4 linked regions of the Styela clava genome follow. The protein of the gene in region 2 purifies or fractionates together with the protein of the main gene of each other region. This does not show direct contact. Links are inferred from orthologs where the notes say so. Each region holds a gene or a part of one and is shown on either strand. Other genes may lie near its edges. The genes, in order: transcription initiation factor TFIID subunit 4-like, TATA-box-binding protein-like, transcription initiation factor TFIID subunit 11-like and transcription initiation factor TFIID subunit 6-like.

Region 1 (7,858 bases), on a different chromosome or scaffold from region 2:
ATGATAAGGTGCTATGCAAGAAGTCTATTGCTATTATGTCTATCCCGTTTGAGCAATCACATAGTAATACAATAACACCTCATTCACTGCCAAAGGCTTTCGGATTTAATTGATTGGGAACAGTATTTGGTTGTATAAAGATATGATTTCAACAGTTACAAATAAATGATATTAGCCTTGTTATTTGTTACGCTGCATTCGTAGATAATGAATTTACAAGAAGATGTTAATCAGTGAAGAACATCAGACTTCTTATACCTGAGATAGCGTTATAGATTGAGAATTCTGTGGTGTTGTCGCTGGACTTGTGGTAGATACTTTACTGACAGCAACCGTCTGAAAAGTAATGTTTTGGTGAAAAAAAGATTCAGATCAAAATATTTATGATCAGTACATGATAAGAAAAATATAAAACAAAGTCTTGCAGACAAAGACAGTAGATAATGCTGTATATTGGTAACTATTAGAGACTCATTATGGCAGAATCCACTCTAAGTGCAAATTGCTAAGAAACAATTGAAGTTTCATGCAATAAGTGGTGAATTCTGTGAGATCAGGGGTGTCCGAAAACAAATGGAGTATTAGAATGCATTTGAACTTGGTAGGACACAGATGAGCTAATTAACAAATTTAACTTCTATTAACAGTCTGAGTGATTTTCACTGTAGACATGGCCCATTTCAGAACGTATTCGGTATTCCATATTTGGAAATATTATTTCAGAATGGTAAATTATTGGGTTTTAGACAACATATTATATCATCTGGGCATAAAATCACAAATAATTAATAAATCTTATTAATATAATCAATCAAAAAAGAAAAATCATTATTATTATTAATAAACAAAGATATGCCATGATTTCACAATGTATTAATGGAAAGGAAGATATTACAGACGAGTTACTGATACTGGGCATAAAATAAATATAACTTGAAAAACTTTGTGAAAAATACATTCCATACTTACTTGCTTAGCAGCAACAGCTTTAAGGTTAATTGAATTTGTAACTGGAACCACTGTTCTTGCTACCACCTGACCAGCTGTTGTTGCAGTTATCTTAATAGAAAAATGGAATCAATAGATTTTTTCATCCTTTATTCTGTTGAGCCTGGCTTTGACTTTTTTTGTAAGAAGACGATATGAAACAAATTGTCAAAAGAATGGAATGGAAATTAGCAATAAAAAGTTGCTCGATTGTGTTTCATACGATAAAAGCAAATTTACATAATCGTGGTAAGATTTTGATTTGTGCAAAACATTTGCAGAATAAAACATACAGAAATGTTTACAAAAAATTTGAGGCAGGTGTTTTCAAAATTCCCTTATTGGGTAGAAAGAGTACATGTACCATTTTGCTAACTATTGTAATTGTTGTTTTCTTGCAACTAATAGACCTAATAAAATCATATTTCAGTACTTCAATGTGGAATAAGTCCCTAGGAGGCTATTACTTCTATTTTGCTCAAATTTTGTCCTACTCAAAATTTTGCTGTTTTTTTTCCAATTCACAGAAATACTGTTATATGACATCTGTGAAACACCTACAATTACTAAAAAAAAATGTCAGAAATTTTGCTAAAATTCCAGTATTCATTTAAAATCTGGGCACTTATAATTGATCTTTGCTTTGTTATCAACTTTAATACTTACTGCGGGTTGAGGTGATGATGTCCCAACACCTGCTGTTGTCGAATTTTTCAACGTTGTTACGGTCCCAGATGTTGCGGTCTGAGTTACAGGAACTGTGGATGTATTTGTAGTAGATGACGATGACAACGAATTACTACTCACAAGCAGCAACTGTCCATTCTGATGTCTTGCTAGAACCATACCTGTATACGGTTGGAATCAAAAGTAATATGGGAAATCAGCGAAAAGCACAGATCATTCATCATACAGGAAGTAAATCAAGAAAAAAGCTCCATCAAACCATATAACCAGCGTGTAGATAGGCTCAGCATGTTCACTAACAGCCCTGTATCGATGCTCAACAACTTTCAATCAGTTCCACATTCGAGGGCTTATGATATTGTGTGGAACATAACTCTTTATATAGGAATGTAATGCTTGATAGTAAAATACAGTTCACTTAATTGAAAAAATAAGAAAAGGGGACATATTAACTTTCAGTATATATAGCTAAGCCTGTTCCAGGGGGTTTTGATCCCTTTTGCCACATCCAACTTGTATTAGACTGGTTTTCTGTCGCTGTAATATTCAAGCTTGAATAATGATGGAAAATTATCGTGGTGAAACAGTACAGCTAAGGACATGTGCATGAAAACAAGCTTCATGTATCGTAATAGTTAAGTTTGAATATATTTTAAAACTTTTAATTTTATTATTTAAGTTTGAAAAAAATAAATTCTTCATCCACTGCATTGTCGTATTAAAAACTTAGGAACCTTTGACCCAATAACAATAGTCCATGAGAGTTTCCAGTACATAATTATGTACCATTGTGACTGCATAGCGTATGAAAAAGGAATTAGATAAAAAGTAGAAATCAAATTAACCTGGAGGAATAGTTATCCCAGATGCTAGTTGCACTGCACCACCTTGTTGAGGACGCGCAGTCACCATTGGCTGAGTCGTAGAAACTTGAGCCTTCGATGTAGGATTCAATAAATTATTTTGCAAACCAGTATTTGATTGCTGCATTCCTGGTTGTGGAATTTTATTTACTGTGGTCAGAGTCGTTAATTGTTTTGCCACAGGTGTGGATGCTTTAGGCAACTGTGAATTTAAAACTAGGGTCGGCTGTTGTGGGGTTGGGGCCCCATAGCCCTCATTTAGACCTGTTGACCAGTCATTAAGCATCCCTTGCTGCTGAGAGGTGACCGGGCTAGCAGTCCTGACCTGCTGTACTCCGTTTTTTGCTGCAGAAAATGGAGGTAAACTATTCATTCCAGAATTATAGCTGTTCAACGTGTTTGGGGTACTTGATGAAGATGTGAGAACTGTGTCCGTCGATCCAGGTGGGCTAACCCTCATTGCATTGAACAAAACAGCTTAGATCTATACATCACCTTGAAAAAATATATTTAGAATTAATTTTTGACTACGATTGCAAGTTCTTAAAATAAATCTTTGCATTGAGATCTGGATTAGAATCTCTCGAAAAAGACCTTAGTCATTTAATCGCAATCCCACAGAGAGAAATAAAAAAGTTGCATTTATTTGTGGAATTGTAAAGGTGCAATAAACTTGATATATACATGAGTAAATGACTGAGCGATGCGGTGTTTGGCGCAGCGGTGTGGCTCAACGAGCTAAGCGTTAGGAATACGCTAGCCACCGCACCTCTAATTACTCTGCGTGGGTTCGCAGGTTCGAATCCCATGCAGGGATGGTTATGTGCGAGAGGATTGCTGGACTCCTCGCCGTCGTTGGGTAGTTCACGTAACCGCTGGTCGGTTACGGCTTCCTCCACCACCAGGTCCATGCTTCCGAAAACAAACAATATAACTAATTCCATACCCGACTTTGAATGGTAACCGGACGAGAGGCCGTGGTTCGACATATGGATAAGCCGTCTTTCCTCTCCCCCGGGATAAATATATAAATTCTATCCTATCTATTACTTGTGTGGGTCTGGTATAGCTTAGTACCACATGCACTTCTAGTTGGTCTGGCTCAACAATTTTTGAATGTCATTCCCAATCCCCGCCTGACTGCGTCACCAAAAAAATCTGTCACAGTGGCTTAAAAGTCCCTACAAAGTATGCGGAACGCGCAGACGATCACTCAAAATCAAGCAAGCTATCCATCATGTTTTCTCGCCACAACGATCACGCTATGAGAGAGATCGCGGGCGTTAGTGAGTTCATTATGGGCGGCGCAGATGACATTTCGGGTGATTGTAACTGTACTTTGGCAAGCTCCATTATGTGATTGTGACGTCGTAGTGATGTAATTTTTGGATGGTATAGTCAGGTGGGGATTAGGAATAACATACGCAAATTTCGTTATGTTACGCCCACTGGAAGTTCTTGTGGTACTAAACTATACTAGACCCGTTAAGTGCAATGCTACCACATGCTATGCTCGATCCAAACCTGAGGGGTTTGACAGACAGATCGGGCAAATTAAAAATACCCCAATAGAGCAATATGATATGAAAAATTAACAATATTAACAAGTCTAAAAGTGGTTTTAGACAATACCATATCGGTATGACTGCACTGCTATACATAACCATTATACTAGATAGGCTACACCCTTACATAAAAGTATTCTTCATACTGCAGTACTGTCATAATTGAACAGATATTTCCTGATTTCTGTAGTTTCATATGCCTATCTGTATATTCAGATATTAAATACTGGTCGTGCAATAGGTCACTATCACCCAGATATGTTACCCAATACTTGTATTATCTTGTACCTTGGTACTTGATTGTTGTGCTCTGTCAAACAACAACATGTCAAGAATCCTATATCACAAGACACTTCTTTTGCATTACACAGTTACAGGATTATTAAAAGAAATGCTGAAAGTTGATGTATAAACGACTGACAATAATATTCGAAACAGGTCAAGCACCCTTTACAACTATAAACATATCAGTAAAAAAATGTATTTAGCAACTAACTATATGATCGTTCAGTGGGCCATTAGCTCCACCAACTCACAACTCCCAAATGCACACCTCGAAACCTCGGGCGCGAATGAAGCGCAGCGACCCGTTGGGCGCCATCACTACTCCACGGCCTTCACAACAAGAATGAAGTGCGCATGCGTCATCATTTTCCGATTCAAGGGAATGGATCGTGTTTTAAAATGAAGTACGGTCATATGAAAAATTAAAAACATTGTATTATGAATTTTTTTTTTAATTTTTATTGTATTGCAAATGTAAATTTATGTTATACAACAATCTTTTTAATCGAATAAACAAATATCAGTGTATTTACGTTATAAAACAAGTCTCCGCTGACACCCCCTTCATATATAACAAGTGGTTCACACCGCGGTCCTCAAATTTTGCTTTTTTCTTTTTCTCTCATTTTCATTTTTCATTATATCACAGAAAAAAGAAAAAATGGATTTTCAGACGAACACTAGAGCGCGATTAAGAGCAACGCGTCATACAATCTGAACGCGGGTCATGAAGTGTTTTCATGCCTTATCCGTTGTCGCTATTTCAAATTGGTAGGAAATCAAACTGTTAGTTATCGTTTCTTTCTTGTTAATTTACACGAGGCAGGACTTTTCTCTGAGATTTAATATACTCGGAATAGTATCAATGGTAATACAGCTTTAATGAAAACAAGCTCTGAAGTTATTTGGCTATCCGTGTCAGGTGGTGTCACATTGGTTATTTGCTTTTTAAATACCGTAGTGGGATGTGATATTTGCTGTTCAGCAGTGCAAATTGGGAAATCATTGTTTATCTCAAACTTAGTTTGTTAGTTCTTAATGGACTGCAGCACATATGTAGACTGGATTTGTAAATAAAAAAATGTACCATAATGACAGAGTTTGGAAATAAAAACCTGTCTCTCTCGTTCTCTTGGAAATCTTTTATGTCTGTATGTGCAGATACTGAGATGTGTTTGGTAACTCTTAAAAACTATAAAAATATTTCATAATTTTTACCTCCTAGTTTTTTGGCGATATGAGTTGTGGAACTCCATATATCGGCAGTAGGATTAGTTTGATATCAAAGGCAAAAATCCGTTATGAAGGAATTTTGTTCACGATTGATGCTGAAAATGCTACAGTTGCTCTGGCAAAAGGTATATTTTACGTTTCCTTATAAATTTGTCAATTTATGATGTTCGTTACACAATTTATTTATTCGAGTTTTATTATAAATTTTACTTGAGGAATATTGATTATATGTAGCAAAAATTTATATATTGTATAAATTAAACTGCAAAATATTATACTTCCTGACTTCATAATAATATACATTATATTATTGAATTGATAATAAGGATGATTAATATTATATTTTTGAAGTCTTGAAAATCTGGTCTAGGTATTGCAGACAAAATGCTGATGCCAAAAACTGAAATATACCATGCTTTCCATTGTGGTAATAGGCTTTACCACAGATTTCACTTAAATTTATGGAAGATACAAAGCAAAATATACCTGCATTCCGGCTACCAGCTGCCTCATTCTAACTTGAAAAAACAAGCCTAATTATTATATTCGCTATTCCAGATAAAAGGAATATTAATGCTGTGATATATCAGTCAATTCATCAATTTTAGTTAAAATGAAGCATAATCATAGTTTCCCAATTTTGCACCATTTTTTATTATCTTGTATTATGCATATGTCAGTTAATTGAGTATTATTATTAGAGTTTTTACCGATATATAATGCTTGGCACAATTTTCCAAGAAAAAACTTATTTTATTCCATTTACAGTTCGATCATTTGGCACAGAAGATCGGCAGACCGAATGTGTAGTCCCTCCACGAGATGATTTATATGAATATATTATATTTCGTGGAAGCGACATAGAAGATCTGACAGTATGTGAACCTCCGAAGCCACAGCAGCCACCAACGACTTCTTTGCCACAAGATCCTGCTATTGTACAGGTGAAATGAATTTTATCTGCTTCAAAGTAAATACAAGTTTCAGAGTGGAACGAGTCTTTAACTCGAAACAAGTTGGATATAATATAATTTGATAATGCAGATTAGTTGGAAATGTTCTTTTTCAAATTTTTTATTTTTATAGTACAAGAACTTTAATGGAATTTATTTTTTGTCTGAACATCAGATGGCAAATACTTGAAAATGTCAAATTTTCAAGTGAAACTATCCTAAATCATTTATTATATCAAATAGAACTAATTTAGTATATATTTCATTTATTTTGGACCCTGTTCTTATAATTCTAACATGAAACAATTTTGACTTCCTGTCTCTTTCCAGCCAAGTGTATTGTATATTACCACCACTATCATGTCACTGCACTAGATAAAAATTTAGCACATGGAATTACACCCAAAAGTTATTGTTTCTAGATATATTTATTTTTTAGTCTTGTATAATAGAGCAAATCAAATTTTTTGCTGTAATGACATTTTCAATCAAATGACGACTTATTTTTGTGAATTTATGGTAATTATATATTGTTCCTCGACTTGAAGTCTACGTAATAGATATATGATATAGGCCTATCCTATATATAATTTATAGCTTTTCTTTGCATTTACCTTTGTTTCCTCTTACAGTCTGTTGTGACATCTCAGCATTCTGGAATGCCTCCTAATGCACCAACTCATATGCCGCCACCATACATGCCACCGTATGGATATGGAATGCCTCCGTACAACATGGTCCCACCCCCAAACCAACCACCGCATATGCCATCCGGTCCACCACCACCTGTTGGCCTACCTAGATCTGCACATCCACAGCCTGGTGCTGCCCAACAGAAGCCTCTCCTACAAGGTAACCATTGTTTATTTTTTTAAATAAGATAACTTCCTCACAAGGGTGTCGCACATGTGCGCTCAGGTGTAATGTAGACACATCTCAGAGCGAATTTATGGGCACAAAAACTCTTAAGATCTGCTATTACTATTTAGAATTAGGATAGCACATTACTCCAGGTCTATGAAATATGGCACGTTTCCATTTTCAAGCCGGAGTCTGTGTCATATTTTCAAACTCTCTCCGCTAGTCGACAGATAGGAACTGAAATTTTAAATTTTTGTGATACTCACAAATTTTGGTGGCAGTAATCGAGGTCAAGCAAGATATGTGATGAAACCCAAAAGCATTGAGTGGACTGATAATTAAAGAAGGCTTGCATATGCCAAACTTTTGTAATCAAAATTTGATTTTCTTTTACTTTAATTCTAAAGAATACTTAGTTTTATCT
Region 2 (8,089 bases):
ATTTATGCTCGCAATATACGGTACCACTGATACGGTAATCGGACACGTTTAGTGGACATAACGATCGTTTTGTTGTTATCTTGTTTTTTTTGTTGTTCAACACTTTTCGGACACCTAGTTGATCACTGGACCAATTGCTTTGAAATTTTTGGTGGTTAAAGATGAAATTTTTCTCCAGAAATCTATTACTTTTATTTATTTCAAATATTTCTGTTAGCTCCGTGACATTTGTTTATGTTTGCTAAGACGTCACCGAACGTTCTGTGGTCATCGGACGCCATTTTGTGTCCTACTGTACTGCTTCGCTTTATGTGAATATAATTTTGGACACGTTTAGTAGACATAACGATCGTTTCAATATTATGTTGTTATTGTTATTTGTCTCCATCATTTTTAAAAAATCGCCTTTCTCTTCGAATACTGGACCAATTGCTTTGAAATTTTCAGTGGTTGAAGATAAAATTTTTCTCCAGAAGGCTTTTATTTTTTTTTCGCTATGACGTCATTAAAATTATCGCCATTGGGTGGCGCTACGTGCCCATATATTTGAGCATAGCTCTCTTGTGTTGTTCTTTGACACGTTTTGAAGAAATCGCTTTTCTTTTTGATTACTAGACCAATTGCTTTGAAATTTTCAGTGGTTAAAGATAAAAATTTTCCTCAGAAGGCTATTACTCTTTTTTTGCTAAGACGCCATCAAAATTATTGCCATTAGGTGGCGCTACGTGTCCATATATTTGAGCACAGCTCTCTTGTTGTAGACTGTGATCTGACGGTACGGTAAACCGTACTGTACTGCGAACAGATGTGTCCATATATTTGGGCGCTGCTCTTTTGTTGTTTTTATAATTGCCTGAGCCGCTGAGCGCAGAATTTACCAGCATTGCTTTGATTTGTTTGTATGTGTCTTGATTCTCTGTATCACATTTTCACCAATGCCAAATCAATGTAGTTTTCACGGTTTTTGACGCTTCTCGTCACCTTATCACATTACAATACACCTACACACGTTGTCATTGTATCAGAATAAATTGGTCCTTATTAGCTTGAGTATTTCATAAGAATACAACAGCCCGTAAGTTTATTACATTCGCGTATTTTTTGAGTGTTTATTTCTGGCATCCTGACAACCAATTATTATGGAATTACTGGATTGAATTATTATGGAATTGCAACCACAGTCATTTTCATTACGCACATCCACCATATCGGGGTGCTTGGCCACTACCATTTCATTTATTCCCCCTCCACATTGACGTCATATGCGCTTTAAAATTTATTTGACGTCGTAATATCATAGTTAACCTAATAATATTGTGTAGGAGAGAGAGAGAGAGTTTTTCTTTCACAAATAATGTCACACTATAAATATTTGAAGCACAGAACAAAAAATAGTAATTCAATAATAATTGGTTGTCATTATATGTTAGAATCATTATACAAGTCCGGCTAGGTCACGAGTACCGTATATAGCCAGAGATTGCGTTGTTGACTAATTCAGACTAGATTTTATTTTCGGGGTACCACTGTTGTAGTAGGTTGTATTTTTTGTCGGTTTCCCTAAATAGTAGTATATCAAATATTTTATTTTTCATTATGTCTTCCGATAAGCTTCATTTTAGTAACAATAATCAAAAATCAGTGATAGGCCGCGAGCCGAGGCCCTGAAAAACGCCTAGAAAGTGAGTTTCGTAGCGCACATCAGGTAACTACCTGAAAATGATTTTAAAATGTTCCTTAAAAATTTAGTAACAAATATTGCCTTGTTCCCACTTCCAAAAGTTGCACGTTTTACGGAAAAGAAGCTTTTACTACAAGAAATATGTGCTACGATCTGTCCTATATTCTCTACATTATCGGCAAGGAACAATGACTTCTGCAAGACGTAACAATTGAATTAAACCAGCTGTTAGCGAGTGGATGAATATTAGGTATTACTGCTCGACCTTGCGCTGAGTTGGGCAGCCTTTCCATAGCCCTGTTTAGTTATTATTAGTTAAGTTATGCTAAGACGTTGTTGAAAAATGTATAAGTAAGTTATTAAACACTTGTAGATCCTTACCACGGATATGGGCCGTGAGACGAAACCATGAAAACGCCCAGAAAATGAGTTTCGTAGCGCACATCTGGTAACTAAATAAATTCTTCAGTTTTGTGTGAAAACGAACATAATGAACGCATTACAGCTTGTTCCACAATCCTGGTGCGAAATTGAATATAAGAGGTTCCCGGAAATTCAATAACCATAAGTTTACAACACATACATAAGAACTATACAATTCGAGAGCCCTACAGCACACTAACACAAATGTATTCCTGTAATGTTTTGCCTGACCAAAATCGGACTTCCTCAGTCAATCATAATTTATTAGGTAGATTACGAAAAATATGGCATACATGTAACCAACAACAAAAAATACTTTAATTGTGTGACAGGAGTCGGGAGTGACCTCGAAAGCAGCGACACCAACAACGCTGATTCACATTTGCGAATAAATTTTATGTAATAACCACAAGCAGTTTACAACAAGAACAGCATGAAAAGCTACATCCATTTTATAGAAGCTATCAAACCTATTTATTTTTTAGCAATGAAGTCACAAATTAACATCGTGAGCACGAAAACACAAATAAATCAGTTATTTCTCACTTAGAAATTTACCGCAAGTCAAGAAAATTAAACGAATGTACAATATGTACATAACATAGTGAACAGAAATATTACAATTCACAATTAATCTTTTTTAGTTTATGTGGTTATGTATTTGAAAAGGCAATAATATTTCTAGAAACAGGACTACGACACTAACAAATGTCCGAAAAAACAAACAAATGTATGAGTATGATACTTATTAAATCAACTGTAATATCTAATTCACTTTCTTCTGAATTGTTTTCGAAATCCACTATCTCAAAAATCGACTTTTCCTCTATAGGTGTACTGTGATTTCTGCAGTCAAAACAAAAACAAAAATCTGTGCAATTTAAGTTGATTTTGGCACACTTTCATAAATTATTTTGACTATTTTTCTTTGCAGTTTGCCAACTCAAGAACTGATTTGAGGGCCACATGCTTCTTCAGTGAATCATTGTTGGGTGGAGAGTATAATCCTTATGTTTGACAGTGTTAAATAGACGTGCCCTGGTATCATTTACATTCTTCATATCCTCTTCAAATTCCTCAGCTTTATTTATTAATGCCTCGTTAACCTCAAAAGATCTTCATAGTCGAGGGAAATAAATGAATTGAAAATCTCAATGAAGTCTCCAACATGAATTTGATGGGCAGTTCCAATTGCAGAAAAGTGCTAAAGTATTTCAATATGAATAGCCCATCTAAGCTGTTTGCAACTATTATGATTCTCATATACCTTTAAGCTTCAAGGCTTCTTGTTTAATCCATTTTATAGCACTGATAGCAGCAGGGATCAGAGCCTGCGTTAGGTCGGATTGGTGGAACATTGCCGTTTTCTTTTGTAGTACAGTATCTAAAATAAGGAAGAAAATAATATTTGGAGCAGCATGATTTTAAAAATACCCCTAAATACGGTACTAACTAATACCTTGAATATATAATGCATTTTATCTGATGTACTAAATGAGCGTATACCGGTATATGCTCATTGCATGTACTACAGTCCAGCAGTGTTTGCATACCATTACTAGACTATATCTACACTAAATTTTGATATATCACAGTCTGAAATGTCCTATGACAGTATGAGTATGGACTATAGACTATATTTTGAAACATCAACTGTTTGTCTACAACTTGATTTCTCACCTCTCAATCGTTTCCAATGCTACCTTTCTTTCCACTCCGGCATAACTTATCATTGCTTCCCAGGTTCTTGTCGACTCTATGAATTTAGATTTAGACCAACCGACATTAGGAAAATTGATTAATTTCTTCTCTTTCACACAACCGTGCATTACAGAAACAGCCATTCATTTCTATTTCCAAATATGCTGTGGCCTATATAGTAGTATAAGTCTGCTGAATAGTCAAAAAGAGTCATTAAATTAATCATAAACATTTCATGCAAGCCAGAAAATATCGTTGTTTGTGACATATTATTCTAGGTCTAGCCTTCCTTGGAGTTACCGCACCGTACCTATTTAACAACGTCTTATGAGCTAGTGCTCAACTGAAATTGCTTGTTATGGTAAGGATATACAAGTGTTTAATATCTTACCTATACTTTTCAACACCTCCTTAGAATAACTGAACTAATATTACCGGTAACTGAAAAAAACTATAGAAAGGCTACCGTACTCAACGCAAAAGCGAGCAGTTGTAGTACATCTGATATTCATCCGACCACTGGGTCTCCACCTACAGCTGACTAACTTGACTGTTACGTCGTGCAGAAGTCTGCGTTCATTGGCCCATGATACCGGAAAAGCAGAGAAAATAGGACAGATGGTAACACATATTTATTGTAGTAAAAGCGTCTTTTCTGTAAAACGTGCAACTTTTGGAAGTGGGAACAAGGCAATATTTGTTACTAAATTTCTAAGGAACATTTTAAAATCATTTTCAGGTAGTTACCTGATGTGCGCTACGAAACTGAAAGATAAATGGCCTCGGCTCGCGGCCTATGACGAAAAAACTGCGATAGACTGGGGCACAAGGCTATAATTTGCTTTCAGTTCCCATACACGGCACATGGCTAACTATTTTACTAAAAATAATGCTTTGAACCTGTAAACCACTTTAGCTCTCAAACACTATTAAGCTATCAATGCATGCTGACTGATTTTATTTTAAAATTAACACGTATTCAATTGTTTATTAAGTGTGCGCGTGTAGTATTTAGAAGCTTTGTGTGAAACAAAACTGTTGGAGGTAAAAAAATTTTGTTCAAAAAGTTTGTTTAGTCTCAATCTATACAGTACGCATTAGCTATCGAGAAATTTTGAATAATACATAAACTTATATATCATTTTAATTTTTACATATTATTTTTAATAAATTGGAATTTAATATCACTATGAAAAATAAAGGAAATGACGCAATAAAAAAGTTGAATGATATTATTTCACTCCGCTTGGGGCGCTGTCATTCATTTTTGACGTCGTCGCTGTTCGTATCTTCGTTGTTTGTGACTGTGTAGGTCACTACTCTTGCTTGAGTTCGAAAGGCGGTGTTTCCTAACTTCCTGAATTTTTACTGCCTTACGATGAATCCACAGCGAGTCATTCCAGGCACTATTCCACATGGAGGAATATTACAACAAAGGAGTGTTAGTGGACAACAACGGCCTTTGATTTCTCAGGCAAATCCACAATTATCACAAAATCAGGTAAGTGAATCACTGAATTTACATCCTTACCTGGTGAAGGTTTGCAATACCATTATTGTACTGCTTTGTCTACTTGCCAATGAACAATATCTATAAATTCATTATAACTATTGGTGAATACGTAGATATAGCCTAACTGCAGAACTGGTTGATATTTCAGTACCGTCTGTATTTAGGCTATTGTTCTATCAAGAATGGATATTCCAGGGCAAGTCACTGTCAGATTCAGTAATTGCTTACCAAATTAGACATGTATTTTGCTTTATATTCAGGCTGGAAGTTCTGGATTAAGTTTGCCAAATCCAAGTGGATATAACGCTGTGAGTCATCACCAACAGCCACCAAGAGGAATGTATGGAAGCCATCCAATGTATGGAGCTCCATCGCATCAACAAAATACACAACCTGGAGGTTTGTTAAGTCTAATATTGTGCTCCAACTGTACACTTCGTTTTTTCACATGCCTCCGATTTGATTGCTTTATATGCGATGGCTAATTGAATGATCAAATATCTGAATTTCAATGTATGATTGCTAATCCTAGTCGGCCATAAAGTGGCATAGTCTACTTACCTTGCAAAATGAACTGCAATAGGTTCCTTGCAATAATTTGCAATTTCCTTGCTTGTAATAGCATATGTCGTGTCTTGTTTTTAGGTGTACAGTTGTGTTTTATATCCCCAGATAATGTGGGACCCACAATACCATATTTTTGCTAGTGTAACCTTACCTTATGCTTCTATGCCTGGGTATTCATTTATTTTGATTTCACAAAGGCAGTATTGCTATACCAAAATTGAATTTTCACCATTTTTTGATGTATGAGTAATAAAATCCTCTCTCCTTGTATCAATTGGCCTTCACTATTTGTTCGTCTGTAATAGACCATGTTCCTGCAAGCTATTGTAAAACTAATTGTGGTATTTGTATTATAAGGCATCAAGGAGTAACGATTGATATCATTCCTTTCATTAGCATCCAATCAACACTTTGTTACTTTGGAAAGTCAAAGGTCACATCGTCAGAACGAAGATGAACGATCAGATGCTCAACAGCACAGAACATCAGTTGCAATGAGTCCAGCACCTTTATCCAATCTCCAAGTATGTCACATGTATGTTACAGAAAATCAGGTCTTTACTTACCATTACTTGTGTCTTATGATGAGTATATTTTTTTCTTCCATCAAACCCAATGGTATTATTTTGACAATAGGGCAGACCATATCGAAATGATTTGTTTTATATTTCCTTTATTTTGAACAGGTCCCCACTCCTAGCGCATTGAGTAATTATCATGCGAACACTCCTGGTTATCCCTTGAGTGTGAATGTAGCAACACCAATGACTCCTCGAACTCCTGCAGATTCTGGGGTCGGACCACCAATGTTACAGTAAGTATATGGTTTGATTGTTCTGTGTCATATGTTAAATTACTTTGGAAGAAATTCTGTGGAATATTTGATACATGTAGTAATGATGTAAAATATATTTCATGTGGACTTGCAAAAAAAAAAATAAAGACTCAAACATGATAGGTGATGTTATTATTTTTCTTACTTTTCAGAAATATTGTGTCAACTGTAAATCTAGGATGTAAGTTGGATCTCAAGAAAATTGCCTTACATGCTAGAAATGCTGAATATAACCCAAAGGTAAGGGTTCACTTATTTTATTTAGCCCAAAGCATCTTTGATACTGATATAAAACATGATTACCTGTAGTTCTTCTATTATGGTCGGTTGTTTAGCTATACAACTTACCTACCAGTAAGCTGACAAAAATTCCAAAATAATGTAAATATGTATTTTTAGCGATTTGCTGCAGTAATTATGCGAATTCGTGATCCGCGGACAACTGCTTTAATATTCAGTTCTGGCAAGATGGTGTGCACAGGAGCTAAAAGTGAAACTAATTCAAGATTAGCTGCCAGAAAATATGCGAGAGTTGTACAGAAACTGGGTTTTCCAGCAAAATTTTTAGATTTTCGAATACAAAACATGGTAGGAAGTGTTGATGTGAAGTTTCCAATTCGATTGGAAGGCCTTGTACTAACACACGGACAATTCTCAAGGTTGGTACTTAAATGAATCTGATGGAATTTTTCATTTTAGAGACCTATCTTTCTTTATATATGCATTGGAAATTGTAGATCTGCCAAGTTGTGAACGTTTGAAAATGGTTACAATCAGTAGCCTATACCAGGGCTACTCAACTATTTTTACCGAGAATCGGCATACAAAACTTCAAAAATATTTGGGCATCCTTATTAAACCCGCACTTCCTCGACCGACTAATGATTATTAGCTAATCAAGAATATTTATTATGGCATTATAGTTCTTTTCATATATATTTAAATCTATGAAAAGTGATATTATAAAAGGAAAACTTCAATAGTGGGGCTCATGATCCAAAATAAAGAATTCGTCGCGGTCCGAATCTTCGGACCGCCAGTTGAGTAGCACTGGCCTATACTTTCTATAATTTATGAAAACCTTCTAGGAATGTTACATAAGTTAACACATACATCGTGGAATCTGGGCACTTGAACATAGAATTTCATTTTACAGCTATGAGCCTGAACTCTTTCCTGGGCTGATCTACAGAATGGTGAAACCTCGCATTGTACTTCTAATCTTCGTATCTGGCAAAGTTGTACTCACTGGTGAGTGTTTCCCATACTACAAGTTATCTTTTAATCATATAACATATTCTAGGGATTATTTTAAAATTAAACTATTCTCTTCAGGTGCAAAAGTGAGATCAGAGATAGAGGAAGCTTT
Region 3 (7,009 bases), on a different chromosome or scaffold from region 2:
AAAAAGGGAATATTGACGTCAGTCTTCCAATGGTGACTGCATTATTAGATGATTCAAAAAATGTTGATGTTACAAGGATCCATGCTGATGATTCGGTCAACCATGTCATGTTGCTAGGTGACACAGGCTCTGGAAAAACAATATTTGCTTTGAATTATGCAATGATGGCTTCGAAGAAGAAGTTGGTGTTTTCCGCTGAGATTAAGATGGTCTATTATGTGGATGTTTCTAAGTTATACAGCAAACAAAGAACAACTCCTTTTGATCTTCTGTTTGTCCAACAGCTTGGATCGGAACTTCCTGAATACCTACATGATTCCGGATCAAACTGGTTGAAACTGAATTCATCAAATGTTTTGCTTGTATTGGATGGATTGGACCAAAATCAAACTCCATTAGAAGGTGATTATTCCAAAATTGGAGTGGACACTGTAGCAGATACCAACACAATTATCGCTAATGTATTATCCGGGCATATTTACCAAGGAATTAAATTATTATCAACATCACGCTGGCATGCATATTGGAAATTGCCCCCAAACATGAAAACCCCAAGAACCGTGGTCTTAAAAGGATATGATATAGGAAAAGTGCATCAACTTGTAGAAAATATATTTGGCTCCAAAAGTGAAAGCATGATTTTCGTCTGGAAAATATATGGGGCATTTGACCTTTTTTCAAACCCCTTGTTCATGAGATACATAACTGAGACTTATAAAAATCCACCAAAAGGTGCTGATGTGAATATCACAACTACGATGGTTTCAATTATGAGACTTTTCTCAGGATCTCGTCATAAAGGAAATGTCCAAAGTCTTGTGCCAAAAGGCATGAAGTTGGCTTTTCTTGGGATGATAGAGAATCGATTTGTTTTCACAGCAAGGTATATTGAGTCACTCAACCTGGATATGAGTGACATGCGTGGTCTTGTTGAGATGGATGCTGACACCCGATTTGTTGAGTATGTTGCCGACGATAATGATATGAGAATACGCTTTCTACACCCGCACATCCAAACGATACTTGCTTCCTTGTATGCTTGCAGTCTTGACTTGGAGGAATTCAAGAAGTTTATCGAGGATAATTACAAAAAATCTGGAATGGAAGTTGTTATAAAACATATTTTTATAATAATTCTCAACAAATCCACTGCAAAAAAAGCATCAAAATTTCTACCAGATAACTTGCATAGTAAGTCTGAATACCTGCTTGAATACTTGGGTAAATTATTGGATCAAAAAGTGATTTCGGATGAACTACTAGTTTCCATATTGCATGAATGTGGCCCAGATGTCTTCAAACAATTTACAACCAATGCAGAAGAGTTTGATTTCACAAAAACTTCTCTGCATCCTGGCGAACGAAATACATTGTTGTCCATCGCAAATAATGCTGTGTCATTAAAGTCCATTCGAATGACAACATTTGAAATTTGCTCGACAAATTTGCCACTCATGATATCACTACTCAGTTGTAATATTAGCATCCTGATTACTCTTCTTGAAATTATTGGTATGGATTGCAAAAATCTTCAAAAATTAGGTGAAGCTATAAAAAATGGCGTATTAACTGCTCCTACTATTCATTTAAAGAATACAACAATACTGGAACCAGCAGCATATTTCTTATTTGTCCAAGTGTTGCACCTTTGTGGATCTCGTTCTCTGATTTTGAATGACAATAACTTGAGTTCTGAAAAGATAGTAGAACTCAACAATGCATTTGTGGAATATAATGTGATTTTGGATGATTTACGAATTCATAGTCATTCTATAACAAATTTAGAAGAATTTGAGCTTCTTGCAGAGCTATTGAATAACACCAAAACCACAGTGTTTACAGCTATGGGTATATGTGCAACATATGATCGTTTGTCATCATTTTGCACTGCTCTACAGCAAAAGCAAGTTACATTTTCTTGCTTGAACAACAGAGGAATTGTGTCAATGTCCCCTACTGATGATGAGATCTTTGTGATGTCGAGGTTAGCTCAAAAAGTTCACAAATGCTTGTCGCTGGGCCCCCTGAAAATGAATAAATCACAAAAAAATATTTTGCTCAAAGAGATTGGAAAATTCTCAATAGAACGGTCAGCCCTTTCACTCGATCAAAACATCAAATTGTTTTCTATACTCTGGTCAAGAGAGAATAAGATAGATGCTAATGAACCTTTGGTCGAAGAAATTGGACCAGATGGTGGATTTATGTGGCTTTATGACTGCAAGCTCCTTGTGCCGCCTGGTGCTGTTAAAACAAAAACTACATTTTCTCTTTCGGTCAATAATTTCTTCGATGATTTCCCAGATGATTTACTTCCTATCACACCTGTCATTGAATGCAATCCTTCAATAACATTTGATACACCAGTTACTTTGACGATGAAAACAAATTTCTACAGTAAAAATAATCGGGAAATTCCAGTTAAAATTATGCACAAGGAAAAAGACGGGGAATGGACAATGATTAAAGATGTTAAGTTGAAAACCGAAAGTGAAATTGTGTTCGAAGTGGACCGTTTCTGCGATTTTTGCAATGGGAGTGAGAAGGACATATGTGAAAATGGAATATTTACTTTTATTAACGATCTCTACATGCAAAAACAGACAGCACAAATCATATCTGTTTTAACAAGAAATCGATCTGACCACGAAATCACAGAATCAGCTTTGAAAAAAAGAGGTTTTGTTGGAATTTTGCCTCTTGAGGAGCGATTAAACGTTGGTCTCAAATCGAAGATTGAAATAAAAATTGAATGTGATGATAATTCAGAGGTTCAACTTCCTAATATTCAGCCCCAAAACGAGATTATAGAAGTCACAAAGGATATTGTGAGACAGGGATTCTCTCATTTATGTTTTACCCCAAGTGATTCGATTCGTGACAAACGAGGACAAATCCGCATCAAGTATTCAATAATCTATTGCGAAAGAACCAGACATGTACCTGTTATAATAGTCTGGCCTATTGAAGAAAGCAAACCAGAAAATTTAAATGTGTACACTGAAATAAACACAGGATCACATGCATATGGAAATGTATTCAGAGATAATGCACATGCAGAAATACAAGAACATGGGTCAAGTCATTTTGTAATGGCAGGTGTAACACCACAATGAATCTTCCTTTCCATTGGTTCTAATGAGTTTTTCTACAAAATGTTGACCTTGAATAATTTTGTATAATGTTTGTTTTTAGAATAGAAAACTTCCATATTTTTTTTCAAGTGTTTTGTTTATATATATATTATAGTATGAAATTTATAGTTAGCGCATAGGTTTTCATTTATGTTGTATATGCTGTTATTGTAACTTTGTATATATCAAAAGCATCTGATTTTGCCAAGCAGTTATTTTGCCAGAAAAAGCTATTTGTTGAACACACTGATTTGTCTCTGACCTTTGAAATTTTTTTAATGCCATCATTGCAAAATTTTTGATGCTTATTTTGAGAGTTCGGGCTCACAAACTGGTTTACATGTTCATAGTCATGATTTTGATTTAATTATTCCCTGCTTGACGTTAAAAGTTCTTTTTTGATTTACTCCATATCTCTCGCTCCTAGTTTTTGTTTATAGCAACTGAACTAAATATCCTTGCTGACAAATTTACCATTGACTTATACATATTGATTTGAGTGGTTTTATATGCATTATTCTGTTAATTTTGTTTAGGTTAATTCTGTTAAGGTATGCAGGTCAGGTTATCACATCACTTTCTAATTTATAACTTGCACATTTTTTAAGGTTTTATAAAGAAAATAGAGATGGGTTTATGAAATATATTACCTAATGCTTGTTTATTGACACTATGCCATTTTCTAACCATGCAAATTCCGCTGTAAATTTTTATGCAAGTTGACTTACCACGCCTAGTTCATATATTGCATAGTACATGTATATATTTTTGTGTTTTTAGTTTATGAAATAAGCTTAGTGCTATAGTATGGCAGAATATGCCGAGCATGGGGATTTAAAATTAGACGATTCCGATGTTTCTGAAGCGAATACGTCAAAAAGAAGCAACACCTCTATGCATGAAGAAAGTTTTGATGAAAAACCAGGTAATTTACTTTATGCCTTCGCTCTGACAAGGTTTTAAACTGATGTTACCAGGTCAGGTAGAAATGTTGCTGTAGTATACTAATATTCTTTAGTTGATATTATTAGTATAATACTTATTTATACATACAATATTAAACAGTGGTTCTCAAACGGCGCAGCATGCCCCGCAAATAAAAATATTTGTTAGGTTTAATCTTGTCCGTCCTTAATTTGCATATTTACTTATCTTTATTATTGGAGATTGCAATTTCATCCACATTATTCAATGTGTTTTTTGAATAAAATATACTTTTGCCTCACTATCTGTTATTTGTAGCTTTTCTATTTTTGAGGTGAGGCGCAAGACTTGGAAAATTCTAAAATAGGCGCGGCTTGGAAAGTTTGAGAACCTCTGTTATTTATCACAAGTGATGAACAGGGACTTTTTTTAGTAAAGGAATGCTAGAAGCGGTTTTGCTTCTAACATTGTAGTCCCCTTCAACTCCTCTGTGGCCCCTTGCATAGGCCCCAGGCCCCCGGTTGGGAGCCGCTGCTTTAGGAGGTATCTTTATTTTCAGGTTCTTCAAAATTAAAAAGAAAGTTTGGTTCGCCATCAGGACCTCAAGAAAGCCCAAGCAAAGGAGACAAAAATACATCAATTTCATCGAAAGAATCACCAAAGTATGTCTAAAGAAGCTAGTTAAAAGAAATTTACTATCAAAATTTTTCAATTTCCCAGTAAAACATCTAGATGTGAATTTTTTCCCCTCTAAGTGTGGCTGAGCGGAATAATCTCATCTGAATTAATCCAATGCCGGTGCTGCCGCATGCCACTTTGTAATTTCTCAGGTTAGATGTCTAGACTAGACCTGATTTTTTTCCACTGAAAAGTGACTGAGCAGAATAATCCCATCTATTTAATCTAATACCGCTGCTGCCATATTTCACTTTCTAATTTCCCGGGTTAGATATCTAGACTTTATCTGAAATTTCCCATTGAAGCGTGAATGTGTGGAATATTCTCATCTAATTAAGCTAGTGCCGGTGCTGCCATATTTTATTTTCTAATTTCTCAGGCTAGATATCTGGACTAAACCCGAGTTTTTATCATTGAAGCGTGAATGAGCGGAATAATTTCATCTAATTGGGCTAATGCCGGTGCTGCTCTATTCCACTTCTCCAATTTCCAATTGGAGCGTGACTGGGCAGAAAAATCTCATGTTATTAATCCAATATCAGTTATATCATATTTTACTTTCAAATTTTTTATTTATTTTCAGAAAAGATCCTACGTCAGCACAACAGGCAACTGCTGATGAAATATTATCAGCGAAACGAAAAAAAGAAAAATCAGGAAGAGTTGAAAGAATGAAAATGCAGTAAGTTGGAAATTTAAATTTAGTTATATTTTACAGCAGCTCTGATGTTCTCATGAATTTTGTTTTGTAATGTTCTTCATGAATTCTTTATGAATTTTATAATGTTTTGAATTTTGAACCAACTCCATGGAAACATGCCAAACTACGATCATGCCATTTCTCCTGTATATGCTTTGTATTATATTTTAACGAACTGATTGGATTATTTGGTTGCATTAAGATGGTCTTTTGTAACAGTTGTATTTACATTAGGTTAAATGTGTTATGCGTTCACAAACAGTGAATTTATATAGATAATAGATGACACTCAAGTTGGTGATCTGTAAAGAATCTGCTCATCAGACTTCCCAACATGCTCAAATCTTTTCTTTAAATTTGTTTATTTTTAGGCGACTTGTGACAGCTTTCTCTGAAGACCAATTAAACAGATATGAAATGTACAGACGTTCATCGTTTCCAAAAGCTTCAATAAAACGATTAATGCAATCCATCGCTGGATGCACAGTATCACAAAATGTGGTGATAGGAGTTGCTGGAGTGTCCAAAGTAAGCTCGTCTTTATCTTTGTATTGGAATAGTTCAGGGCATAGATTCTCAAAGTGCGGAAAAACCTTGGTGCTCCGCAAGCCATTCATTTACTTATTAAAATACTGACTTGGCTAATTTTGTAACTGTCCAAAGAATAACGGCATTAATAAAATTTGACAACAGTAGCGTTGAAATGTGGAAATAAGGTGGTAATTTAAATATGACATTATCTATAAGTTCCAATAGAATAGATAATAGTTTCTAAAAAATTCATGGTGGGGCACTGTAAATAAATATTCAGGCCCTTGACAGGCTCCATAACACCAACAGTTCAAGAAACCCAAGTTTAGGATTAAATCTTTCACAAAAAATCTCATGGATTCGAATTTCTTAACAAATTATTTGAGAAAATTACTTTGAAGTCCAATATTTCTCTTGCTCTCATTACTGGAAATAATTGGCCAACTGTCAAGTCAGTTTTCCATTCACTAGAATCTGATACAATTTTTCTGATTTTGTTGTTTCCTATATTTTATCAGGTTTATGTCGGTGAAATCATGGAGATAGCACTTGATGTTATGGAGCAACAAGGGGAAACGCCTCCAGTGAAACCAAAACATATTCGTGAAGCAATCAGAAAATTAAAAGCCAGAAGAACTTTCCCGTTTTCTAAACTGAAGACTAACCCATTATGATGCCTGTATTTGAATTGTTTTGCCGAAGGCCGAATCCTACCAAGCCTGTCCTGAATGGCTTTTCTGGTTAAGAGATGGGTACATTGCTGTCAATTTCCTATCAGAATCATGAAAAAATGGACTTTTGTGATGCTTCATGACATAATCTTTCAGAATCAGAACTGTTTATTTTGGAATTATAGGGTGTCCATGAGGTCTTAATTTTTTTTAATTGCAAAGGAAATTTATCAATGCACTATATTGTTTTGGCCCTCACAGATGTATCAAATGTAGGACACCCTGTATATTGGGAATATTGTTAAGAAATATTACACCGTGTTTCTCAATTTTGTAGTCGCTGTGGTATTACTGTTGTTCTTTAGTTTTCG
Region 4 (7,281 bases), on a different chromosome or scaffold from region 2:
GATAGTCTTTAGGGAATAAAATTAGTATTTGCTGTTGTTGCTGGCTATTTGTTGTTATGACGCAGTGCTTCTAATTTTAAGGTTCGAATGACTTTAAGTTGAAATACGTAAACTATTAACCAAAAGCAGCAGAATGACTCAATATCCTATAAGTCTACTGCATTTGCAGTAGTAAACAAGTAAAGCAACACGCATAGTATTCATGAATTTTGTATTTAGTTGAAGAAGACGAACCAACGTAACTGATAACTGGGCTATACTGTTGAAAATAGGTATAATTCGTAAAAAATACAAATAACTCATCTGAGATTCCAATGAAACCCCAAATCTAATACTCTGGTAACCCTCACTAAGTTTCCCTCTTTCCTGCAAATATATTGAAATTTAGGTTCGTCGTTTCAAATTTCGCACAAGGCGGTCGTAAATATAGATTTTGTGTAACTATATAGATTTCGTGTAACTGCAGTCGTAACAATAGTGCTAGGCTAGAACAATAAAAATTAACAAAAATTAAAAAAAAGAACAATTAGCATACCTGATATCCCAGCAATAACAACAAATCTTATACTTAAATAAACTTGAGTTTTTTTTACTATGTAGTTGTGCCCTTGTTCTTTACTGCAATCCTATTCTTACTACTTTACCACTGTATTTTTGTTTATAACGGACACTAAAAACTACAGATGCATACAATAATTGGAAAACTCATAGAATTTGAAACACCTTTTTTTCTCACTTTCCTCACTCTTTGCGTAACTAATATCTCGCAATCGTTCGTCTGGAATGTTCTTTAAAAGCAACAACATGATGAAACTCCGCACCCCAAACCAAGCATAAAAAAAACTCGGATAAAGCGGAAATTTGGAAATTTAGGTTAGTCTTCCAAAATCTCGCACACGGGGGTTACTAGACGTAACTGAAGATTTTGAAATTGCAAGGATATCACATCAGCACATTAAAAATAGAATTGTTTAAATGCAAACTCTGGGATTTAAATGGAAATGTTCTTTAAAAGTAACAACATGATGAAACTTCCGCACCGCACACGAAGGATATACAAAACGCAAATTAAGCGAAAGTCTAGAAACACATCGTAAAATTCAGGAAAATACGACAGGGAAATGAAGGAAACTTGAAACACCAAACATTTGCAAATTCAGTTTCGTCATTTTAAATATCGCACAAGGTCGTAACTGAAGATTTTGATATTGCAGGCTATCACATTTGCGCCAATAAAAATGGACGAAAATTTGAAAAAGATGAAAATAACTAATCAGATATCCAAACGATAACAACAAACCTAATACTCAGATAAACTTGAGTTCTGTTTTTATGTAAATCTTTTCTTAAATCACATTCTCACTACGTTAACACTGTATTTTTGTGCAAACTGGGTTGTTTTCACCGGACCATAAAAACTACTGAGGTATACAATAATTGGAAGACTCCTAAAATTTGAAACACCTTTGCTTCTATCACTTTCCTCTGTCCTTGCGTGACTGATATTTTGCAATCGTTCGCCTGGAAATGTTCTTTGAAATAACAACAGGATGAAATCTTCGCACCGCACACCAGAGATACAAAACGCGAAAACGGAAATCTGGAAACACATCGTGAAATTCAGGAAGACAACATGCACAATACGACAGGAAATTCGAAGAAACTGGAAACACCAAACACTTGCAAATTTAGGTTCGTCTTCTTAATTAAATCTCGTCAAATGAGGCTACTGGTCGTAACTGGAGTTTTTAAAATCGCAAGGCTATCACATTTGCGTTGATAAAAAATAAACAAAAATTTGGATGGAAATACATTAGGAGCTAAAATTTGTGCATGTGTGTGACATAAGTAAATTCGGTTCAAAATATGTAAATAATGTATTAACGAAATAATAGTATATGACATGAAATTGTTAACAGTATACTCGCTAGTTATTAACGAAACCTAGCAGTTGACACAGATGAGGCTTTCAACGGCTTTTTATTAGGAAATCAACGCAGGAAATGTATAGTTGACGCATTTCATCAATTCGCAAGCGTTGCACTGGTTAATCGATTTGTTCTTCAGCGAGTAACAGGAAGTGCTGTTGCAATTTTCAGGTTTTCGAATGAATTGATAAAAATCAATTACACAAAAAAGGAAGAACGAAAAAAGTAGAACAATAATATAACCGAACTTTAATATGGCAATACTTACATTTTGTATTCGTTACTTTTCTTACTCATAAAACTGTTTTTCTGAAAGAGATAAGAGATAACTGCGTTAAGGTTTGCCTTACACGGGGCTACGAGTATTCTTGCATCCATCGTTGTGATTTTAATAACAACTTGAAATTGTGTAATATATAATTCAACACTTCTGTTAAATGATTTGTGAATAAAATTACGTTTACTAACTTTAGTGCTTGATACATTGCACAAAAAGATTGATTTTAGCACATTATATTTCCTCCGTAGGCTAATCCCTCTTGAGCATTTTTACAACTTTCTATGTAGGGTTAGACGAAGGAACGGCTTGTAAATAATATAAAATTCACAATCATTAACACATATATATCGATTTTATTTCGTTTATGATTTTATTTTCCTTTTTTTATTATTTTTGTCTTTTTATTAGCACGCTTTTTACAAATTTATTCAAAAATTGAAACAATAATTCTTAAGTAGATACGAATGCTTTCTCAGCGTGTCCTAATGGTGATTAAAGATATAAAAATATATTCTGTTGGCGAGTTAGGGTGGAATTACATTGCCGGAAAGATGGCCAGTGCAACTGTAATATTACTTGAACTTAAAATTGCCTAAAATTCCTACTTCATCAGATCAGTTTTGCCAGTTTGCCAGGTTCGTACCATGTCACGGTTACTCGCTCCCAACGATTGTAACATGCCCAAATAAATAAGGATGTTTTCCCAACCTTTGACCCCAGAAAGATTCTTTCTATTATTTACCATTTCAAGATTTTCAATGCCTATTCTGAAAGTGTTTCTGCTGGTTGTCGCTTGCTAACTGGCTTGTATATTGAAAATAAATATTCACGTGCACAGCTCACAGATACTAATAATTAATTTTAGTCTAGTCCATCGTAGCGTTTTTAAAACCAAATTCCTTTGTTGCAATTAGACTAAAGCTTTTCGGAAGACAGAATGACGATCAACTTTTTTGATTTACAACTGATTTTTGGAAAAACAACTAAAAACTGACAAATAACACGCAAAACGATGCAATGTTTACAACAATGCTCAAATATCTGTCTGAACGACAGAAGTGTCGGAGCGTCTTTACAGATTGCAATTTTGACGTCATTGTTGGCTTATTGTTGATTGGTCATTGTTACGAAAATAAACAGGGAAAACGATGCTCGTGCAAACATCCATAGAGGGCGCAGCAGCCGTAATTAGCAGGTTCGGAGGTTAGAGGTCAGATAATCACTTTATATTTTTTGAGTGAATTTGAAGCGTTTTTAGAACCCGGTGTTTTAGTTTAATTAAAATAAAGCGGCGATGGGGAAACTTACAGGCCTATACGATAGGACAGGTTAACAAAAAATTAGTATTCAGTACACAAGTAACACAAGTTGAAAGTCTGAAAGCATGAACAAACGCTACGGCCATGACGCGGATCCAACATACCGGTAACTTTCCTGCTTCCAGGTTCGGTACTTGTATCCTTTACAGGTGTTTGAATTTGGATAAGGACAAATATGAATTAAAGTAAGCTGTTCAATGGCGTTAAAACGGTATCGTGAGCAGGTTATCAATATCGGTACCGTACTCAACTGGCGGTCCGAATCCGGCCCTTTCGACAATTTGGACCGTGTCTGCTTGTATATTTTGGCAGCATAAGCATTGTTTGGTAGTTTTAGAGGATTTGATACAATTTAAATACTGGTACATAGGTAGCCTAGCTATAGTCTACAGTTTGTTGTACTGGTACCAATATGCGACATTTGTGTATATACAGATATATTTACGAGCCATCATTAGACGTTCGTTTATTTAATGAAAAAAATATTCTGTAATGTCCGGACCCCAATAATTCTGAAGTTTTCTAAACGGACCTTTGGGGAAAATAGTTGAGTAGTCCTGGCGTACCGTAACATTCCAACATCATTGCCATACTGCTGTACTGCCATAGCAGAATGGCCCAGGTTTACGAAGAAAAATGTTTTAGCAATATACGTACAGACATACCTGCATACCGGTACTAGCATCACAGTATTAGCGTATAGACTAACTGCTGAACTGTATATTATCCACTGTTATTTTTAACAGCATATTACTGTATTAGAGTATTTACATTATTTTAAATGGCTGATACAAGTAAACGAAGTGTGAAAAAAGAAAGCAAAGTTCGACCTGACAGATTTTCTGCGTTTTCATCAGAATCTGTCAAAACCGTTAGCGAATCAGCTGGTGTCGCTCGATTAACTGAAGACACTTTGTCATGCTTGGCAGAAGAGGCAACTTATAGATTGAAAGAAATTATACAAGTTAGTGATTACAATTCTTCTCATATTAATTTCATTGTTCAGCGTTTTCTAATTTTTAACTAAAACACTTTGAGAAAAATTACCATTAGATAGATTTTCATTATCACTTTGTTTTGACTACTTATAAAATTAGGTCTATGAATTTTTTATATTTTAAATTTAGTCTTTTCCATGATTTCCTTCCGTGAAGTTTTTTCCTATCTATTTGTCTATAATGGAGTTCTCTATATGAATCAATATTTAGCCAGTCTCTGTTTCCTTCACCCATGAAGCATGACCTAACTTTGAGAGAATCTTCTGGCATTCACAATTAACATCTTATGAAATTGAATTTAAACCAGATGACCAATCTCAGTATGACACTGTTCTCAGATTCCAAGAATAGCTCCCACATATCAATTATATCAGTGAGTGCAAACCATTCCTTAACGAGACAGTTTTTTTCTCCATATCGGCATAAATCGGCAAACCAACTTTGTGAAATAAACTAAAAGGTGGCGCAATCTAAAAATGTCACAATTCGATTCCCCGGAAAAACAAATAATCTGGTTCACAAAAGGAATAAAAACTTTACTGTAGCATTCGAGAGTTTTTAGCAGAAAAAATGGATTTTTGGTGATGTTTGATTATTATCGGGACAAGCATTGCACAATCTGATACATACACTCCTGTGCCATACCCCCTCGTTTCAGAGACATATAGAGTGTTTGTTTCATTGAACCAAATGTTAGGAAATCTTGGGATTGTAGAACTGTGCCCTACTGAATTTTAAGATACTGTGCTAAGCAATGTTCACTAATATTTACTTTTACTTCATTCATAGGAATCATTGAAATTTTCAACACACAGAAAATCAAAGATTCTGACGTGTAGAGATGTTGATTCAGCTTTGAGGGTATGCTTAAGTCGTTAGTATCTTGAGTTAATAAGTTAGAAATACATACTTTCAAGTTGTTCAAAAAATCCATGTCCAAAATAATTTCCAAGTAATCAGGAAGATAGGTTCGCCTTATGTGCTCACTTACATTCGTATATAAAAAGTTAAGGCTTCAAGCGTGTTCGCAAATATTATCTGTGGGAGGATGAAATAACATTGAAAACTTATTTTAAGTGTTATTATGAAAAGTGTAACACAAAACTTTGTATCCTCCCTTTTTATTAGCTCAAACCTTAATAAATAAAAATAAATGCAAGGGTTTGAAGGTGTTTCGCAATAGTTTAGTTCTAACAGTCAAACCAAAAATTAACATAACATACTAAAATTTAAACTGAAGCAAGTGTAGCTTTGAATTGGAACAGAGTCCCGGAAATGGCCCATGGTTTATACAAAAAAATCTATTTCTGAAAAATGTGGCAGATGCTACTTTTGTTTTACTCCGACAGATTGTTTATATGCCAGAATAACTGCGTTCATACTTCAATTGGAACAAAGACTCTCACATATTTTTTATTTTCAGTCAAAAAACATTGAACCATTATACGGGTTCGTCGCAGAAGATTATATACCATTCAGATTTGCCAGTGGGGGCGGTAGAGAGCTACATTTTGTCGAGGACAAAGAAATTGATCTTACCGAACTGATTAATAACCCTCTGCCACGAGTTCCATATGATATCGCCGTGAAAGGTAAATGTCTTCCTGCATGGACACTAGAAAACGTTTTGCTAAATTGTTGTTATTTGGACTAGAAATCTTCTTGATTAACTTTTAAATTACTTGGGGGAGGTGGAGGTGTTTCCTAGAATGCTATTGCATATATGCTTTCAAATTTTTTCTCAAGTCGTTGGTACTTGTTGTTTTACTACTAATTTTGACAAATTTATCCATCACATTGATTTTCTACAGATGGATTTTTATGCACTGGTGTAATATATTATGACCATCCAAACTATATTTGTGATAATTCTCTTCAAACAAGGCTTAGACAAACACCCACTATTACATAGGAAGTTGTGATTTTTTGTAGAACTGGAATATTTTAGTTTGGTTATTACTTTCTATCAATTTTTACAACTGCCAGCACTTTTAATAGCACAGTCCTGCACTTCACAGTACTGGTTTTGGTGAGATATTTGCATACTCTGATAGTGATGGGAATGATATTTCATGGTAATAGATATATTTTTGAGTTTCATTATTTAATATTCACTGCCCACAGGACCCTGGACAAAAACCAATCATCCTTTGATACATAAAGAGCTACAATTTATTGTAGAGTGAAATATTTTCAGTTTGATTATTTTCACTCATCACCATTCCCTGTATTTACAGCTCACTGGCTAGCAATCGATGGAGTCCAACCAAGCATACCAGAGAACCCAGCTCCAGAGCAAACCACTTTACTAGATGTCTTAAATAAAACAGAATCTAAACCTCTACCTGGTTCTGCTCCTTTGAAAAGTTCCATCGTCCCTGCAAATAATCCCTTGAAGAATGCAACACATGAAACTAGTACTAAGGACAAGGTTAGACTATACTTTTTTCAGAGTTACTTGAAACTTGAAACATCAAAACTTTTGCGGTGGCAGCATATGGGCAATGTAGAATATTATACTATTTCAAAAGACTTAAATCAAATGCAGAATACTGAATCGTATTCTATTTTTATAGTTATTTAAATAGTGGAAATTCCCCACCCCACCCCGCTTGATTAAAATAGTCCAAGACTAAACATTTTACAGGGTTGATTCATAAGGGTCGTAAAAATTTCTGTGATGGTAAAAAAAATATAAGATCTTTTTTATTATAATTTTTTACTGTTGTTGAAGAGAAACTTTTACAAAATAAAGT

What was found.
Region 1: the proteins of TATA-box-binding protein-like (region 2) and transcription initiation factor TFIID subunit 4-like purify together in Drosophila melanogaster (affinity purification with western blotting; 7 studies listed by BioGRID). This does not show direct contact. The link is inferred for Styela clava from reciprocal best matches to the Drosophila melanogaster genes Tbp and Taf4.
Region 3: the proteins of TATA-box-binding protein-like (region 2) and transcription initiation factor TFIID subunit 11-like purify together in Drosophila melanogaster (affinity purification with western blotting; 3 studies listed by BioGRID, with this or other methods). This does not show direct contact. The link is inferred for Styela clava from reciprocal best matches to the Drosophila melanogaster genes Tbp and Taf11.
Region 4: the proteins of TATA-box-binding protein-like (region 2) and transcription initiation factor TFIID subunit 6-like purify together in Drosophila melanogaster (affinity purification with western blotting; 5 studies listed by BioGRID, with this or other methods). This does not show direct contact. The link is inferred for Styela clava from reciprocal best matches to the Drosophila melanogaster genes Tbp and Taf6.

What each region holds. Positions count from the first base shown.
Region 1 is NC_135262.1:5,622,962-5,630,819, forward strand, and holds the start of transcription initiation factor TFIID subunit 4-like, read right to left. Parts: upstream 3,033-7,858; 5' UTR 2,998-3,032; coding exon 2,520-2,997; intron 1,836-2,519; coding exon 1,654-1,835; intron 1,060-1,653; coding exon 970-1,059; intron 337-969; coding exon 259-336; intron 1-258. Other genes in the region: protein LSM14 homolog B-like, read left to right, coding at 5,625-5,745, 6,389-6,564, 7,206-7,425. UniProt on the Drosophila melanogaster protein: TFIID is a multimeric protein complex that plays a central role in mediating promoter responses to various activators and repressors.
Region 2 is NC_135253.1:12,137,308-12,145,396, reverse strand, and holds the start of TATA-box-binding protein-like, read left to right. Parts: upstream 1-5,056; 5' UTR 5,057-5,183; coding exon 5,184-5,306; intron 5,307-5,578; coding exon 5,579-5,717; intron 5,718-6,281; coding exon 6,282-6,409; intron 6,410-6,571; coding exon 6,572-6,699; intron 6,700-6,872; coding exon 6,873-6,960; intron 6,961-7,119; coding exon 7,120-7,379; intron 7,380-7,876; coding exon 7,877-7,971; intron 7,972-8,055; coding exon 8,056-8,089. UniProt on the Drosophila melanogaster protein: General transcription factor that functions at the core of the DNA-binding multiprotein factor TFIID.
Region 3 is NC_135264.1:15,684,735-15,691,743, reverse strand, and holds the start of transcription initiation factor TFIID subunit 11-like, read left to right. Parts: upstream 1-3,898; 5' UTR 3,899-3,941; coding exon 3,942-4,059; intron 4,060-4,617; coding exon 4,618-4,720; intron 4,721-5,319; coding exon 5,320-5,418; intron 5,419-5,807; coding exon 5,808-5,964; intron 5,965-6,485; coding exon 6,486-6,641; 3' UTR 6,642-7,009. UniProt on the Drosophila melanogaster protein: The TFIID basal transcription factor complex plays a major role in the initiation of RNA polymerase II (Pol II)-dependent transcription.
Region 4 is NC_135256.1:4,776,898-4,784,178, reverse strand, and holds the start of transcription initiation factor TFIID subunit 6-like, read left to right. Parts: upstream 1-4,277; 5' UTR 4,278-4,308; coding exon 4,309-4,491; intron 4,492-5,314; coding exon 5,315-5,386; intron 5,387-5,948; coding exon 5,949-6,117; intron 6,118-6,762; coding exon 6,763-6,956; intron 6,957-7,281. UniProt on the Drosophila melanogaster protein: TFIID is a multimeric protein complex that plays a central role in mediating promoter responses to various activators and repressors.